Linked DNA regions of Rhinolophus ferrumequinum. The protein of the gene in region 1 purifies or fractionates together with the protein of each later gene. This does not show direct contact. Links are inferred from orthologs where the notes say so. Each region holds a gene or a part of one and is shown on either strand. Other genes may lie near its edges.

Evidence for each region.
Region 2: the proteins of CLGN (region 1) and SLC12A2 purify together in Homo sapiens (co-immunoprecipitation; 3 studies listed by BioGRID and IntAct, with this or other methods). This does not show direct contact. The link is inferred for Rhinolophus ferrumequinum from reciprocal best matches to the Homo sapiens genes CLGN and SLC12A2.

The regions. Positions count from the first base shown.
Region 1 is NC_046301.1:16,067,890-16,075,127, forward strand, and holds the start of CLGN (calmegin), read right to left. Parts: upstream 3,006-7,238; 5' UTR 2,889-3,005; intron 1-2,888. UniProt on the Homo sapiens protein: Functions during spermatogenesis as a chaperone for a range of client proteins that are important for sperm adhesion onto the egg zona pellucida and for subsequent penetration of the zona pellucida.
Region 2 is NC_046290.1:88,519,104-88,527,249, reverse strand, and holds the start of SLC12A2 (solute carrier family 12 member 2), read right to left. Parts: upstream 3,056-8,146; 5' UTR 2,870-3,055; coding exon 2,144-2,869; intron 1-2,143. UniProt on the Homo sapiens protein: Cation-chloride cotransporter which mediates the electroneutral transport of chloride, potassium and/or sodium ions across the membrane. Plays a vital role in the regulation of ionic balance and cell volume.

The DNA of each region.
Region 1 (7,238 bases):
GTAAGGCTTACTATTGGAACTATAATTATCACATGCTACATAATATAAATGTCTAGGTACTCCTTTCCTTAACAAAAACTTCTAGAAAGAATGTCATTAACTGTTAATACTTCTAACTTCCCACAGTGGACAGAACAATGATGTCCATACCCTAATCCTTGGGGCTTTGCAGATGGAATTAAGGTTGCTACTTAGCTGACTCTAAAATAGGGAGAGTAGCCTAGAGTATCCAGACTGGCCCAATATATTCACATGGGCCCTTAACAATAGAAGAGGGAGTCAATGAGTGATGGACAGAAGAAATTGGAAGAGAGGGACTCCATCCACCATAGGGACCTTGAAGATGGGTAAGGGGGTCATGAGCCAAGGAACGTGGGTGGTCTCTAGAAGCTGAAAACAGCCTTCAGCTGATAGTCAACAAGGAAACAGGAATTTCAGTCTACAACCACAAGAAACTGAATTCTGACACCAACCCGAATGAGCAAAGTGGAGTCTCCCCAGAGCTTCTAGTAAGAAATGATGCCCTGTTGACACCTTGATATTAGCTCAGTGTGACCTGTATCAGACTTCTGACCCATAAAACTGTGAGAAAATAAGTTTGTGGTCATTATAATGGCAGTAGTGAAAAACTAACACTTTTATTATTCCTGCATTCCTTACTCCTAGCTTCTCTGAAACTGCTCCTATTGACCGAGTCTGAATTAAGTGCACGAGCATTTTTCTGCCCTATTGCCTACAGCTGACTGCCTTGGAGTCCTCTTCTCCCTTGGTTTCTAGGGTACCATTTCTGATTCTTGATTCTCTTCCTTTTCTCTGTCTCCTTCATGGGCACTTTCTCTAATCTTCTGTAAATATTACTGTTCCTTAGGGTTCTGTTTCCAGGCTTTTCTTACATTACGTATACTCTTGGCTGCTATCTATAAAAGGACTCCCAAATCTTATTCACAGCTCAGAGATCACCTCACTTTTTAGTTTCAAATCACCATGCATCTTCAAGGATGTCCCAAAGCCTCCATTAATTTGAACTTGGTCTTTCCTTCCAAGCCTGTTTTTGTATCTCCGTAATTCCCTTCTCCCATTAACTGCACCTCCAGTCAACCATTATCTTAAGACTATTCTTTCTTACTGATCCCCTGTGTCATTTGGTAATTAAATGCATTTGGGTATTCCTTAAATGTCTCTTTCTATCCCCACGCCACACCCTTAATTTAGGGACCCATCCTTTCTGAAAAGGGTTTAGTAAACTCCCACTTTGCCTCTTCAATTCCAGTCTTGCCAATCTCCAAATCTGTCCTCCACCTTCTCTCTAGCATGAGTTTTGCAAAAAATACAAGTCTTACTTCACTACCTGTTTACAAAAATGTTTAATAGTTCTCTGTAACTCTCAGCATAAATTCTACCCCTTTAAGACTCATTTCTTTCACTCTCTTCAATAGTGATCTATTTCACACATTCATGCTTTTCTATATGCTATTTCTTATAACTGATATGCCTTTCTAATGGCTGACTGGGGACTACCCTTATGTCTCAAAAACTGTGTTTGAAAATTATTATTATTTAAAGTTTTAGTTGTCATGCAACTTCAGGAACTAAACTACAGAATGATATGGTAGAAAATACACAGAACTTGGCACTATGGCATCAAATTTCTAGTTCTATTTTTAAAAAGGTTTAAGGGGTTAAAACTACTCTTGGCCTGTTTCATCATTTGTCAAGTGAAAGGGTTAAACTAGATGATTTAATGGGCCACTAAAGTTGGCATTTCTAGCTTTCTATTTAAGAGCACTGAAACTTATTAGGCACTGAAAATAAGCAGTAAGGCTAATTTACAGCACTGTTCAATTTCTACCGATCCATCTATGTACATCACTCACACACTATAATTAACTTTATCTGCTAAAGAATATAGAATACCTTGTTCTAAGGATTTAGGAATGAGGTCTAAATGTGACTGGAAGATTGAACCAATTCCATGTGAAGGCAAAACTGTAAACTGAAAAGAGGTCAAACTTACAATCACCAAACCAGGGAGGACTACCCAGAATGATGCAACGACGTAGGGTGATGTAAAAATTTTAAAGCAAGCAAAAATCTTACGCTTAGATCGGGTTTTGATGGCTTTTTCGCATCAAAAAGTTGCAATAAAAATTAACTCTCTTCTGAGACCTCTCCCCATGGCCATTCGAGTTACCTTCCCTCCCCCGTTTCTCAGCTTTGTTGCCATTTGCTTTTAAATCCCAAACAAATGACTGTTGCTTGGGGAGATGCTATAAACAAAATCAGCTCCAGTGTCTGATCACAAACAGGCTTTCGGCGATAATGAGTCTTGAGTAATTAGGGCTTCGCTGGGATTTAACCCAACCCTCTCCCTCCGTCCCTAGGGGCGCATGCCGGGCTCCAGGCATCCCATGTGCAGAGTGGACATGAGTCACAGGTCACCACCGCTGTCAGGGTTGGGTCCCTTCGCCCTTACAGAGGCGGGGAATGTGTAAACAGCCTATTTGGTTTTGGGGAGACGTAGCTGGAGGGATGAGCGGCGTCGCGACGATGCACCCCCAACCCGCTCTACCCCGGTGCCTCCGGAGCGCGCACCGGGGCGCGAGCGTGGAACGGGGCAGAAATGGTAACCGCTGGATAACGGACTCGGCTCCCGCAGGCCTCTTACGCGCTCAGGGGCAGCCGGGGCTCGGGAGGGGACCTGGCCCTTCCGAGCCCCAGGGCGGCAGGTGGACACAGGTGGACACAGGTGTTCCGCAGGACCCAACGGACACGACGCGGCACCAACTCCCGCCGCGGAGGGCTGGCCTTCCTACTCCCGAGGTCGGGAGAGCCCCCCCAGAACTCGCCCGCGGAACCTCCATCCCCGAACTCAACATCCGCCCCCTCACCTGGCCCCAACCTGTTCAGCCTGGCGAGTCGCCAAAGAAAGGGGTGCGGCCCAGGGACCCCCGCCGTGGGGGAAGGCGCAATGACTCCCGATTCCTCACCCCAGGCCGAGCGCAAAGGGCAGCCGGAAAGTGGCCTACTGCCCACGCACCTGTCTGGCGGGCCTGTTTTCGGCAGTGGCAGCTCAGATGTCCCAGTCGCTGCCACTTAGTCCCCGCGTCTCCACCAGACCAATCCCGCCCGCGGCCGCCCAGCAGCGACTGCTCACTGCGCGTGCGCGTGCGGCCGGGGCGGGGAGGAGGCTGCGCCCGAGGCGCGAGCCGCGCGCACCTGCACCGAGGGGCTCAACGGCCGCGGGGGCGCGCGGCTCGGCGACCCGGCGGTGCAGCCGCTGGGCCCGCTTTGGCGCTCGCGCCGCGCCGTCGGTCGGCCCTGGTATAGTGGACCCGGCTCCAGGCTTGGCGGGGAGTCCTCGTTATTCGTCCTAGGGCTTTTCTTCCCGCCCAGCGCCAGCCCGCTCTGCAAACAGTGGGGTTCTGCCTCCTGTTGCACACACGGTACTGAATTTTATGTAAATCACGTTTTTGAAAAGCGTCCAGGCTTTTTCCTAGAGTTCTATGTGTTACTAAGAGAACTCTCAGCAGCGAAGTGAGCAGCGAAGTTTCCTGTTTCGTTGGGTGTGTGGGATGCAGATGTTTTCAATGTTAACGTAATAAATACTTTATTTCTTTCCAAAATGCTATTAAGAATTGCTAATATTTATTGTGCTCACTGTGTTCTTAGGGGTTTTGCAGTCATTATTTCATTTAACCACAACAGTCCAGGTAAAGAAACTGAAGATAATTACTTGCCAGAGACTTTGACTAGTAAATGTGGAAATAATAGGTTCAGATCCAAGCCTGTCTCTTTCAGCACCTGTAGTTTAAACCAACACACTAAAATTAAACATATAGCGTAAATGTACTATTGAATCACAAGCTTTTTTTTTAGATGTTAGATCATACAGATTTTACAACTTTTATGGCAAATCTTGACTTTGAATTTGGTATAATCACGATTCAATTTTATTGGAATAAAATATTTGACTTGTGATACTACCTATTACAGAGTCTCAGACTAAGATTGATGGTGATCCATGTACAACATATAATTATTGACTAGACGTCAAGATCACTGAACATTTTCCACACTACATCAGTAATAGGGCCACCATCTCTAGACTTTTGACGCTGTCACCATCTGGAATGTTCATTGGTTAAAAAAAGGACAAATTTTATCTGAGGTACTTTGTAACATTATGCTCTTCATTCTTTCTTCATTCCTTCCAACTTTTATTATTCCACATAATTCTGTGGCCCATAACCAATACACTTTGACTTGCTGGAAAGAATTTCTGAAGGATCCTTCCAAAGTTTGTAATGAAGCTGAAAACTAAAAATTCTTGCCTTGTTCCTGACCTAATGTAAATGCCTCTAGTGTGTTCCCATCAAATTAGAACCATTTTTAGGATTGAGGTATGTATGTTTTATCTATGATTGCCAGATCTAGCAAATTAAATCACAGGACACCCAATGAGATTCTAATTTCATGTAATTTTTTAGTACATACATTTTTCATATGTGTATTTTTCTGGCAATCTTAAGTTTGTCATGTTAAGGAATTATCCACTCATTGCAATTTTTAATGTTTTCATAGAAAATAGGTGTTGAATTTTTTTTCCAAAGGCTTTTTCAGCATCTGTGAAGGTAATCCTATGATTTTTTTTCCCTTAGACCTATTAGTATTGTATGTTCTATTAACAAATTTCCTAACAGAATCCTAACCTGATTCTTGCACCTCTGGCATAAAAACCAGGTTATGGTGTGTTTTTTTCTTACTGTGGCTTGGGAGTTTTACTAATATTGCATTTAGGATTTTTACATGAATCATCATAAATTGTATAGGTCTGTGGTTTTCTTTTTTGTGCTATCATTATCAGGATTAGGTATTCATGTTATACTTATACCATTATCAGAAATATTGGGACTACCTGGTTTCTAAAATTTAGCTGAATTTCCTTGTGCAATCATCTAGGCCTGGTGCCTCTATGTGCTTTATTTTTCAAAAACTTTATTTCTTCTATGAATATTGATTCGTTTAAGCTTTCTGTCTCTCACATCAATTTTGGTAAACTGTATTTTCCTAAGAAATCACTCATTTTATCTGGTTTTTAAAAAGAAAACAAATTTCAGCAAAACAAAAACCTATCAGCTCATATAAACTTCCTCATAATTCATTGCCTTTGACTGGCTATTAATATCAACACAGCATTTTAAAATGTATGCCAAGGTAATTAAAGAAAAAAAACCATAAGAAGATGGTTTCTATGGGAAAATGCCTGCCCAGATTTAGCTCCCCACTATTTGTTCATAATTGTTGTAATTTTGCCAGAGGGTGGATGGTCCATACAAGACTACACAACAAACCCCAAGACATTTTTACACACCTTTGTCACTAGAAGGTATCTCTTTCCCCACTACCCATGAGCGTAGCCCCATTTACTATTACTACTACTACTAATAGTATTACCAGATTACTATTTACTACAGTAGTAAATAGTGCAGATGTTGGTGGCTTATCTGAATACTTGAGAGACAGAGTTTTCACTTATTTCTTAATGTTTGCAGAGCTTCTATTCACTTGAAAAACAGACTTTAAGAAAAAAAGATTTCAGTAAATCTGGTTGGAATGTGGTTTTTACAAACTTACCTGCTGTATTGAGTCAGAGGCTTAAATACATCATTTGCCTTCATATGTATGTTTAAAGAAAAGTGAATTTTAATAAGCAAAATCTCAACATTTCAGTAACATTCAGTCGGACAGCGAGCGTCCTTTCATACTGTTCCAGTTTATGGTCCCAACCCTTCAGGTATTTGTTTGATTCTTGGATGGTGGGCTAAAAAAAGTCCAAGTAAGCACCTTTTCACGGAATGTTGCCATCTTATTGAAAAATGCTGTACCTGGACTTACTTTTAAGTTTTCATATTCGCCTGGAATTTACTCATATTAGACTTGAATGAGTAAATTTAATTTTAAAAGTTCAAAATTTAAGTCAAATTAAAAATGTTTGTAACATACATATAATGTCTTTTTTTCTTCTTACCCCCACTAGCTTTACTGGGATATATAATAGTTGACATATAGCTTCTTTTCCTCTAAAAGCAGGGAATAAAATGGAACACATGAATAGTTCACCTTTCATATACTCTTTATATAATATATTGGTATGTGATACAGTTCATACTGAGGTAAATGTGTGAATTTTTGGTACTCAAAGATTACACAGCAATAGGAATTAAGATTTTTCATCCTTGATAAAGGATAAGAAAGAGGAAATACCTCTTATTATTTCTCAAAATAAATAAACTAAAACTCAATAGAATAACTAACAAAAAGAAAGATCTTAATAGACTTCTATAAGAAACAAATGGATCAGGCAGATAAAAATCAGTAGTGATTTAAAAGACTTGAATGAGTAAATTTAAAAGCCTGATATAAGACAGCCCTGCACCCAATAAATAGGAATATTTTAAGGAGACATTTTTAAATCATAAAACTAACATTTATGAAAACAAAGGAATGTAATATATTTTAAGGGAAGAATACAGAGACTACATATTCTTTTCAAATTCACATGAAACATAAGAATTCATAACAATTCTCAGATTTTATTACACAAAGTTCTCTAACAAAAATGTAATTGAGCAATCAACAATAAAATATGGCAAAACTAATATATTAAAAAAAAAACAACAACCCAGACACACTACAAATAACCCATGAGTTAAGAAGGTAATAATGAGAGAAAGTACGAAATCTTTAGAACTGAATGACTATCAGAGCACACACACATCAAGATGTTTGGTAATCAGCTCAAATGGCATTTAAGGGTAAGGTTATAGTTTTAAATGCATTTATTTAAAAGACAAAAAGATATTATGGCACTGCCAGATGCAGGCTTTTTGAACTTGTGCTTTCTATTTCTTTAGATGTCTTAACAAAATGGATAAGTGCATACACTAATTCACAAATAACCTGTCCATGACAATATCAAGTTTCTGAACGTTTAGCTATTTATTGAGATTATACGATAACATCACTATCCAACTCAACAAAATAATTTCTCAATTTTTAAAAACTTCCCTATCTTTACTGCTTTTATATTAAATTATAGTAGCAAGGATACAAACATCATAAACAAACATTTTCTCTTGACATAAGTGGTATTTTAATGCTTTGAAGTCCACTAGTTTGTTCATTGTTTTCTCCTATTTATGTAACTATATATTTTCATTACTACAATTTCTGAAAGA
Region 2 (8,146 bases), on another chromosome or scaffold:
AAATTCTAAACAAAAGTATCTTCAATAGGAGGCTCTATGCTGAGTTAACCTAATAAATCTTTTTTTGGGGGGGCGGGGGGGTGGGACATAAAGGACCCGAGTGGTAGAAGATAAAAAACTACAAAGAATTCATTATACTACCTGTTGCATAAATGAAACTCTGAACATTTTATATACATTAATCTGATAATGTAGGAATTGAGAATCTAATTGAAATCCTAGAGTTTAACCACATACATTCTGAAGGGTCAATCGATAGAAGACTGCAATTAACTACCCTAGCCATTATTTTCCAGGCACTGAACATGCGTCTTTATGTGCATTTCCCCCCCCCCCACCAATCTTCAAAATAACCCTGAAAGCTGAGAAAGCTCAGGCTGACAGTCTGCGTGAGTTCAAGTACTATACAGCTAGCAATACAGGTCTTCTTTTTTTAGACACTGTAAACTAACCAAAAATGCCAAAACAAAAACAACCCTGAAGTGTTAGAGAATTTCCAGTGCTTTCTTACTAGATAATTTAAAATAAAAACTTTCCTAGGAAGCATACAAGTTCAAGGAATATAATATCCTTCAATTTAAAAAGCCTTTCTAAAACTGATGGGTAAATATAGAGTGCTTTACTGCTAAAACTACTAGGCTTTGGTGAAATAAATCTGAAATGTATCTGTGTAATATTTTCAGTATAAAAGTTCTCTTAAAAAGGGAAAATTACCAGCTACGAATGTATTTTACAAAGATTGAGTTTTGAAAAGAAAAAAAAACAGATCTGAGAGAAACTACAAGTGTATGAATAAAAGAAGTGTTTTAAAAATTGTTTTTCTTCTGATATGACAAAATACCACAATGGAATAACAGGAGTAGCATTATCCAAAGCTAAATGATGTCAGGTTTTTAAACAATCAATAAGCTGTAAGGGTTGGGACCTCTGTAAGTATTTCAAACTGTATGAATGTTACATTATCAAACACTGGGACAAGTACAGTCTTGTACGAAATGACTGTGAGTTCAAATAATCATATCCAATTCTGTATTTAAACTTTTCCACATTATGATCATTTCAACCTGTATGGTACCAACTCTTTGCATTCACAAAATTCCATCAATGTAGTCATTACACACTTGTAAAAGCAGATTTGAAGTAATCCCAACTCATAAAAAAGTTAAATATTAACTGAACCTCAAAAGCATCAATGTTATCTCGAAATAATGATTTTGTACCCTAAAGAAATAAAAGTCATATGTGGCCATAAAAAAATAGAATTACAGAAATCAATAGAATTTATAGGGATGGCTTTCTGTTTGCAGAGTAATAACAACTTATGCAAGACCCTAGAAAGTCTTTCTGGACTTCCTCCACAGAAAAAAACCAATTCTCTATTCTCTTTTCTTTCTTTCTTTCTCTCTCTCTCTCTCTCTCTCTCTCTCTCTCTCTCTCTCTCTCTCTCTCGACTCTGCGCCCCGCTTCCCCTCATCCCCCGCCTATATTATTTTGATATAGCCCTCTCCCAAAAGGTTTACATTAAAAAATGGATTTATGCCATTATCAGGAACAGCGTGTCCCAAGATTTATGATCTTTGCATATTCAAGACTGCAGGAATTGAGCTTTAATAATTCATAGACCACAAACACATCCTGTTAAGATTTTTCCTTGAAACACTGAAGTTCCCACTCTTGGGACCCCTAATGGGTGTACATAAGCCATACAATACAATCTTTAAAAAGGACACAGATGGTAGGTGCTTTCCACTCTCTCCCGAGAGACGTCCTCACCTAAACCTCCTGCACATTCCCTTCCCGGGTCCCACAAGCATAACTGTCATTCAAAGGGATGGTAATTGTTAAGCGTGGGTGAGAAACAAAGCGTACAGGAGATACATAACTGGATGGGGAAGGTTGTTAAATGCAGCCTCTCCTGTATCACGTAACTAGCCTAACCCGCTGCAAACTTTTAAGAGATTAAGTTACATTCCTCTGCAATTCCACCCTTGACAGCTGAATCCAAAGATGCCAGCGAGTCGTGCACGTTCATTCCCGCCGCCTCACCCGTGGAGAGCCGGCGGCCACATGCCGCGGTCAGCGCGGACCAGAGGTTGGGGAAGGAGGGAGGACTGGCGACAGGAGGGCTGCAGGGAGAGCTCACCTTTTCCAGCTCATCGTGGAGTTCCGCTAGGCTGGGCCGGAGCAACTTCTCGCCCAGCTGCGCGGCTGTGTGCCGGTAGTAGTCGATCCTGGGCACGGCGTCCATGGTGTTGTGCCCAAAGGTGCGCAGGTAGTAGGTGTTGGTGTGGGTGTCATAGTAGTAATGCTGGTGGTGCCCGCTGCCGCCGCCGCCCGAGTGCAGGCTGCTACCCTCGCTCAGCACTGTGTCCCCGCCGTTCTGGAAGCTCACGTTGGGCCCCTCGCCTCCGACCCCTGCCGCATCCGACAGGCTCTCGTCCGCCGAGGAAGCAGCCGGGTCCACGAAGTTCACACGGAAGCGGCCCTTGGCTTCCTCGCTGCCTTTGGCCGGCCCGCTTTCGCCGCTAACTTTCCCGCCCGTGGGGGTCTCCTTGCTCCCCGCCGCACCGGCCGCTGCCGCCGCCGCGGCAGCCCGCCCCGCGTTCTCGGAAACCAGGTCCACCTGGAAGCGGCTCTGGCTCGGTGTGGGCCCCAAGGGTCTGCCCAGCCCGTCCCCGGCCGCCGCGCCGCCCTCACCGCGAACCCCGCCGCCGCCCAAACTAGCGGCCGCAGCATCCTCCGGCATCGAGGACACAGCCGTGCCGGGCAGGTCCACCCCAGAGGCAGCCAGCGGAGCGGCTGGCGGCGTCTCCCCGACCCCGGCCAGCCTCCGGGCGCCGGAGGAGGGCGCCGTAGGCCTCGGCTCCATCGCTGCCCGACCCCCGGAGGACCCGGAGAGCCTGGCGGACGTCGCGGGCAGCACGCCTTCCGTGCCCCTGGCCGGCGGTGGCCGCGGCCGCAACGTCAGATGAGGGAGTCGCTCTCGCCGTCGCCCGCTCTCCGCCGCTAGCCCGACCGGGCCGGCACGAACACCGTCAGCAGCCGAGTCAGCGCGCGAGTGCAGCGGCCGCGGGGCGGGCCCCGCTGTTTAAAGCCTCGCCGGGGCCGCGGCGGTGGAGGCTCCCGCTGCAGCACGCGGGAGGCGGGGCCCCAAGCTCCTCCGCCCCTCAGCCCGCCCACCCGTGGTCCTGCAGTGGCACTCGGCGGACGGTCCCTGGGCGCCTCTGCCCTCCTGGGGTCCTGCGCTGCCCCACGCGAGAGCGGCCAGCGTCAAGACCGCGTCCAGCCAGTCCGCGCCGGGCCTCCGGCAGCACGAGCAGAGCGACCGGGCAGCGGGCGCGGCCTCCTGACCGCCGTCGCCGGGAAGATATCCGCGCCGCTACCTCCCCTTCCGTCGCCCTCCTCCCATCTCCCTCCACCTCCTTCCCCCGCCCCGCTCTGCGGTGATGAGGAGCAGGCCCCCCGGCCGCCTCCCCGTCTCCCCGCCCCTGGGGCTGTGCGTCTACGAGCCGACAGCCCAGGCCACGGCAGCCCAGGCTGCGGACGGCTCCCGGCACGGCCGGCGAAGGGGCGCGCGGGCCCTGCTTCGGGGCACGCCGACTGCTGATGCTCCAGCGGTAGCTGCCACCACAGCGGCGGCTCTAGGGGCTCTCCCCGCTGGCTTTTTTTTAAGTTCTGAGCTCGCAGTACTTGGGGTGAGCCGGCGAGATCTCGCGAGATGCTGCAGGGCTACAGGGCCGCTTCCCCTCAGGCGCGCGGTACCCGCGGCGGTACTGGAGCCGCCTGCTGCCCCAGGCTCCTCCGGGTGGTGCCGGGCGCTTTCCTGTCCCGCGCGCAGGTGCTTCCGGAGTTGCGGGCGAGGTGCGCCCCTCGGCGAGGCCTGCTCGGCGGAGCTCCTTCCCGCCGCGACTCCCCGCATTCAATTCAGGCCTGAGCCTAGGGGAAAACAGGATTTCCTCTGTGCCGCCTTTGAGGCGGTAAACTCACACGCCTGGCAGTGTTAGATTTGCATAACCAAAAACCAGTTCCAGTCCTAATGCAGTTGGGTGTGTGCAAACTTCCGATGACACCTTTATTTTAAAAGCTGTGATGTTTGAAGGTGAGAAAGGAGGTTAGTTGGGATACCTTTTTGTAAGGAGGCATTTCCAAAAATGATAGGAAGCTTAGAGATGGGTATAATAAAAGCAGTAACTGGGAAGTTTCAGCATGGTTTAAGTTGTGAAGAATTATTCCTGTTTTAATTCAAACAGAGGTACTCCTCGGCGGTCGATTTTTCTCTTTTGTAAAAGGTACGGGAAAAGAATTATTTTTGCAACTTAAGAAAGTTGCAGCAGAATCCATTTTTAACCTAAATTCTACCCACAACCCTACATAAAAACAGGTAACAATGAATGGCTTCTTCAATCACTTGATTTTTATTTATGTATTTTTAAATTTTATTTTTGAGGATAAACACCATCTTTTGCCGAACCCTAGAAGTATGATCAAACAGCTGCAGAGTTTGCCGAACTGTTTTGAAATACAATACTGTAAAGAAAGCTGCAACCAGGTAGTTTTTAAAAAATTGTCATAACCATGATCTTATTTGACCTGCATAACTTTTCATCACAGTTTATTATCTCTATTATAAAGATGGAGACAGGAAGGATCATGTAGCTCTTGGATCATGTAGCCAGTTTTCAAATCTGCTCTTGAGCTTTAGTAATATTAGCAGAAAACCAGAAAAGGCCAGAAAAATCAAGTGGTCCTTTAAGCCGTGCTGTTCCTACTAGGGGATTGCAGCCTTTGTAGCTGACCTGTGTGCAAAACTAATTAGGTGGCTGTTGGAATTCAACATTCATTGAACTGAACAAATGGTAAGCACCTACTGTGAAGTGGTCTGTGTCCTGGGGATCTAGCAGTGAGCAAAACAGACAATCCCTTCTCTCATGGAGCTCATAATCTAGGGTGAGAAAGCAAGGCAATAAACAAGATAAAGAGATATATGGCATGCTAGAGGAACATTGAAATACATAGAAATATACAGCATGCTTGGAATGCTGAGGAAAGGGGAAAAGGATATGTATGTGCTATTGAGATGGTAGAAGTTTTCACTGAGAAGGTGACATTTGAGTGAGGAAGTGGGTGATGCAAATATTTAGGAAAGGAATGTGCCAAGCAAAGGAAAAACAGAAGCCCAAAGATGAGAGCATGTCTGACATGTTCATGGAATTGCATGTGGGCCAGTGTGATTGAAGCTGCTTAAGGGATGGGGAGAATCAAAGGTGATTAGGTCGGAGAGTTTACAGGTTGGAGGGTTCACAGGTTGGGGGCATGACAGACCAAAATGTGTAGGACTTCTTAGGCTGTTGGAAGGTCTTTGACTTGTACTCTGAGTGGGATGGAGTATCAGTCAACTTGGGCTGCCATAACAAAATACCGTAGACTTGGTGACTTAAACAACAGAAATTTTCCTACAGTTCTAGATGCTAGAAAGTCAGCTCAGGGTGCCAGCAACGTTAGATTCTGGTGTGGGGTCCTCTTCCTGGCTTGCAGACCGTCACCTTCTCATTGCGTCTTCACACAGTGAATAGAGAACTCTAGTGTCTCTTTTTAAGAACACCAGTTCTATCAGATCAGTCCTCCACCCTTATGACCTCATTTAATCTTAGCCACTTTAAAGGTACTATCTCTAATACAGTCACATAGGTTAGGGCTACAATATACGGATTGGGGAGTGGGGGACACCATTCAGTCCCCAGCAGATGGCAAATTATTGAGGGTCTGAGTAGAGGAATGACATGATTTGATGTATATTTAAATGGTTAGTCTAGCTGCCTTGTTGTAAATATACAAGGGGTAAGTGGTAGAGACAATGAAAGAAGCAAAGAAATGTGTTAAGAGATAACACAAAAATTCGGAAAGTGATGATAAGGCTTTGACCACAATGGGTAGCAGTGGAAATGGTGGGAAAATCGTTGAATTCTGAGGAGGCAATAGAAGTTGCTAATGGATAATGGAGTATGAAAGAGAATCCAAGAGTTTGGGCCTGAGCAAGTGGAATAAGGGTGGTATTATTTTTTTAGATGAGTAGATGGTGAATGGAGCAGCCTTGGATGGGAGGAATATCAGGAGCTCAGTCTAAGATGTCTGTTGGAGGAAACAAATGTATAGTAATAAAATTAGGTTGGTGCAAAGTAATTGCGGTTTAAAAGGTTAAAAATAATTGCCAAAAACACAATTACCACCCTAATAAAAGTAGTCAGTCATATAAATGTGTACAAAGTGAGAAGTTCTGGGACAAAGAGGAACATGGTAGAATGAGAATGCAAAATAGTGGGACCAGCCTTCGGAAAGAAGTGACTTTTCAGCTGAAGTCTGAAGGATATTTAGGATTAAACTATAATTTGCAGAGGGGTTTCAAAAAAGGGAAATATTGTGGAGTGAACGTGAACTGTCTAAGGAGCCTGAAGCCAATTTGGTTAAAGCATAGTGATTTAGGGGCAAGAGTGATAAGATGAGTCTGTCTATTCTAAAAGCCTATAAAATCATTAATGGGTTTCTAGGAAGAAAAGCACATGATCAGATTTACATTAAAAGTCTCTGTAGTTATTCTGTAGGGAGAAGATTGGAGAGGAGCAACAGTAAGCATGGAAAGACAGGATATTTCAGTAATCTAGGCATAAGATGATAGTAATAATAGTAGCTAACATTTATAAGGAATTTATGTCCTGGTTATTGTGCTAAACTCTACATCAATAAATCTTATTTTGTTCTTACAAAAACACTGTGAAAAAAATCATAGTATTTCCCCCATTTTACAGATGTAACACTTGGTTAAGAAAAGCATGTTCAGTAACTTACCCGAGGTGACTCAGCCAAAACCAAGATTTGAATCCAGGGTGATTCCTCCACTAATCAAGATAGAAGAGTTTGGATTATAGAGACTGTGGAGGAGATGGGGAACAAGAAAAAAAAATCGTTAATAATTTTTATTAAAATATAGCTAACATACAATATTATATTAGTTTCAGTTGTACATCATAGTTATTCAATGGTACCCACCTAGCACTATATAGAGTTATTGCCATATAATTGATTATATTCCCTATGCTAAAGAAGTGATCATCATAAGTCCAGCAACCATCTGACACTGTACCACGCTATCACAATATCATTGACTATATTCCCTATGCTGTATATTGCGTTCCCATGACTTATTTGTTTTATACCTGGAACTTGGAACCTCTCATTTCCCATTTATGTTTTCCCTCCTTTTTAAATTTTTCAATTTCAGTTGACATTCAATATTATTTTATATGAATTTCAGGTATACAGCATAGTGGTTAGACATTTATATAAGTATGAAGCGAACGCCCTGACTAGTACACATCAGGCACTATACGTAGTTATTACCATATTACCGACTATATTCCCTATACTTGACATCCACATGACTATTTTATAACTACCAATCTGTACTTCTTACTCCCTTTGCCTTTTTCACCCTGCCTCAACCCCCTCCCATCTATCACCCCGATAGATCTAGTACCCATATGACATCATACATAGTTATTACAATATTATTGACTATATTCCTTATGTTGTACCCTACATCCCCATCACTACTGTGTAGCAACCAATTTGTATTTCTTAATTCCTTCCCCTTTTTCACCCACTCACAACCACCCTTCCATCTGGCAACCATCAAAATATTCTATGAGTTTTGCTTCTGGTTCATTTGTTTATTTTATTCTTTAGATTCCACTTATAAGTGAAATCATATGACATTATCCTTCACTGTCTGACTTACTACACTCAGCATAATACCTCCTAGGTCCATCCATGTTGTTGCAGATGGCAAGATTTCTTTCTTTTCTTTTAATGGCTGAGTAATATTCCATTGTATATATGTACCACCTCTTCTTTATCCATTTATCCATTCAGAGAGACCCAGGTTGCCTTCATATCTTGACTACTGTAAACAATGCAGCAATGAATCTATGGATGAGCACATCCCCTCAAAGTTCCATTTTGAGCTTCTTCAGTTAAATACCCAGAAGTGGGATTACTCTACCCAGCAAAGCTGTCATTTAGAATCAAAGGACAGATAAAGGTCTTCCCAGACATGAAAAAAACTAAAGGAGTTCATCACCGCCAAACCAGT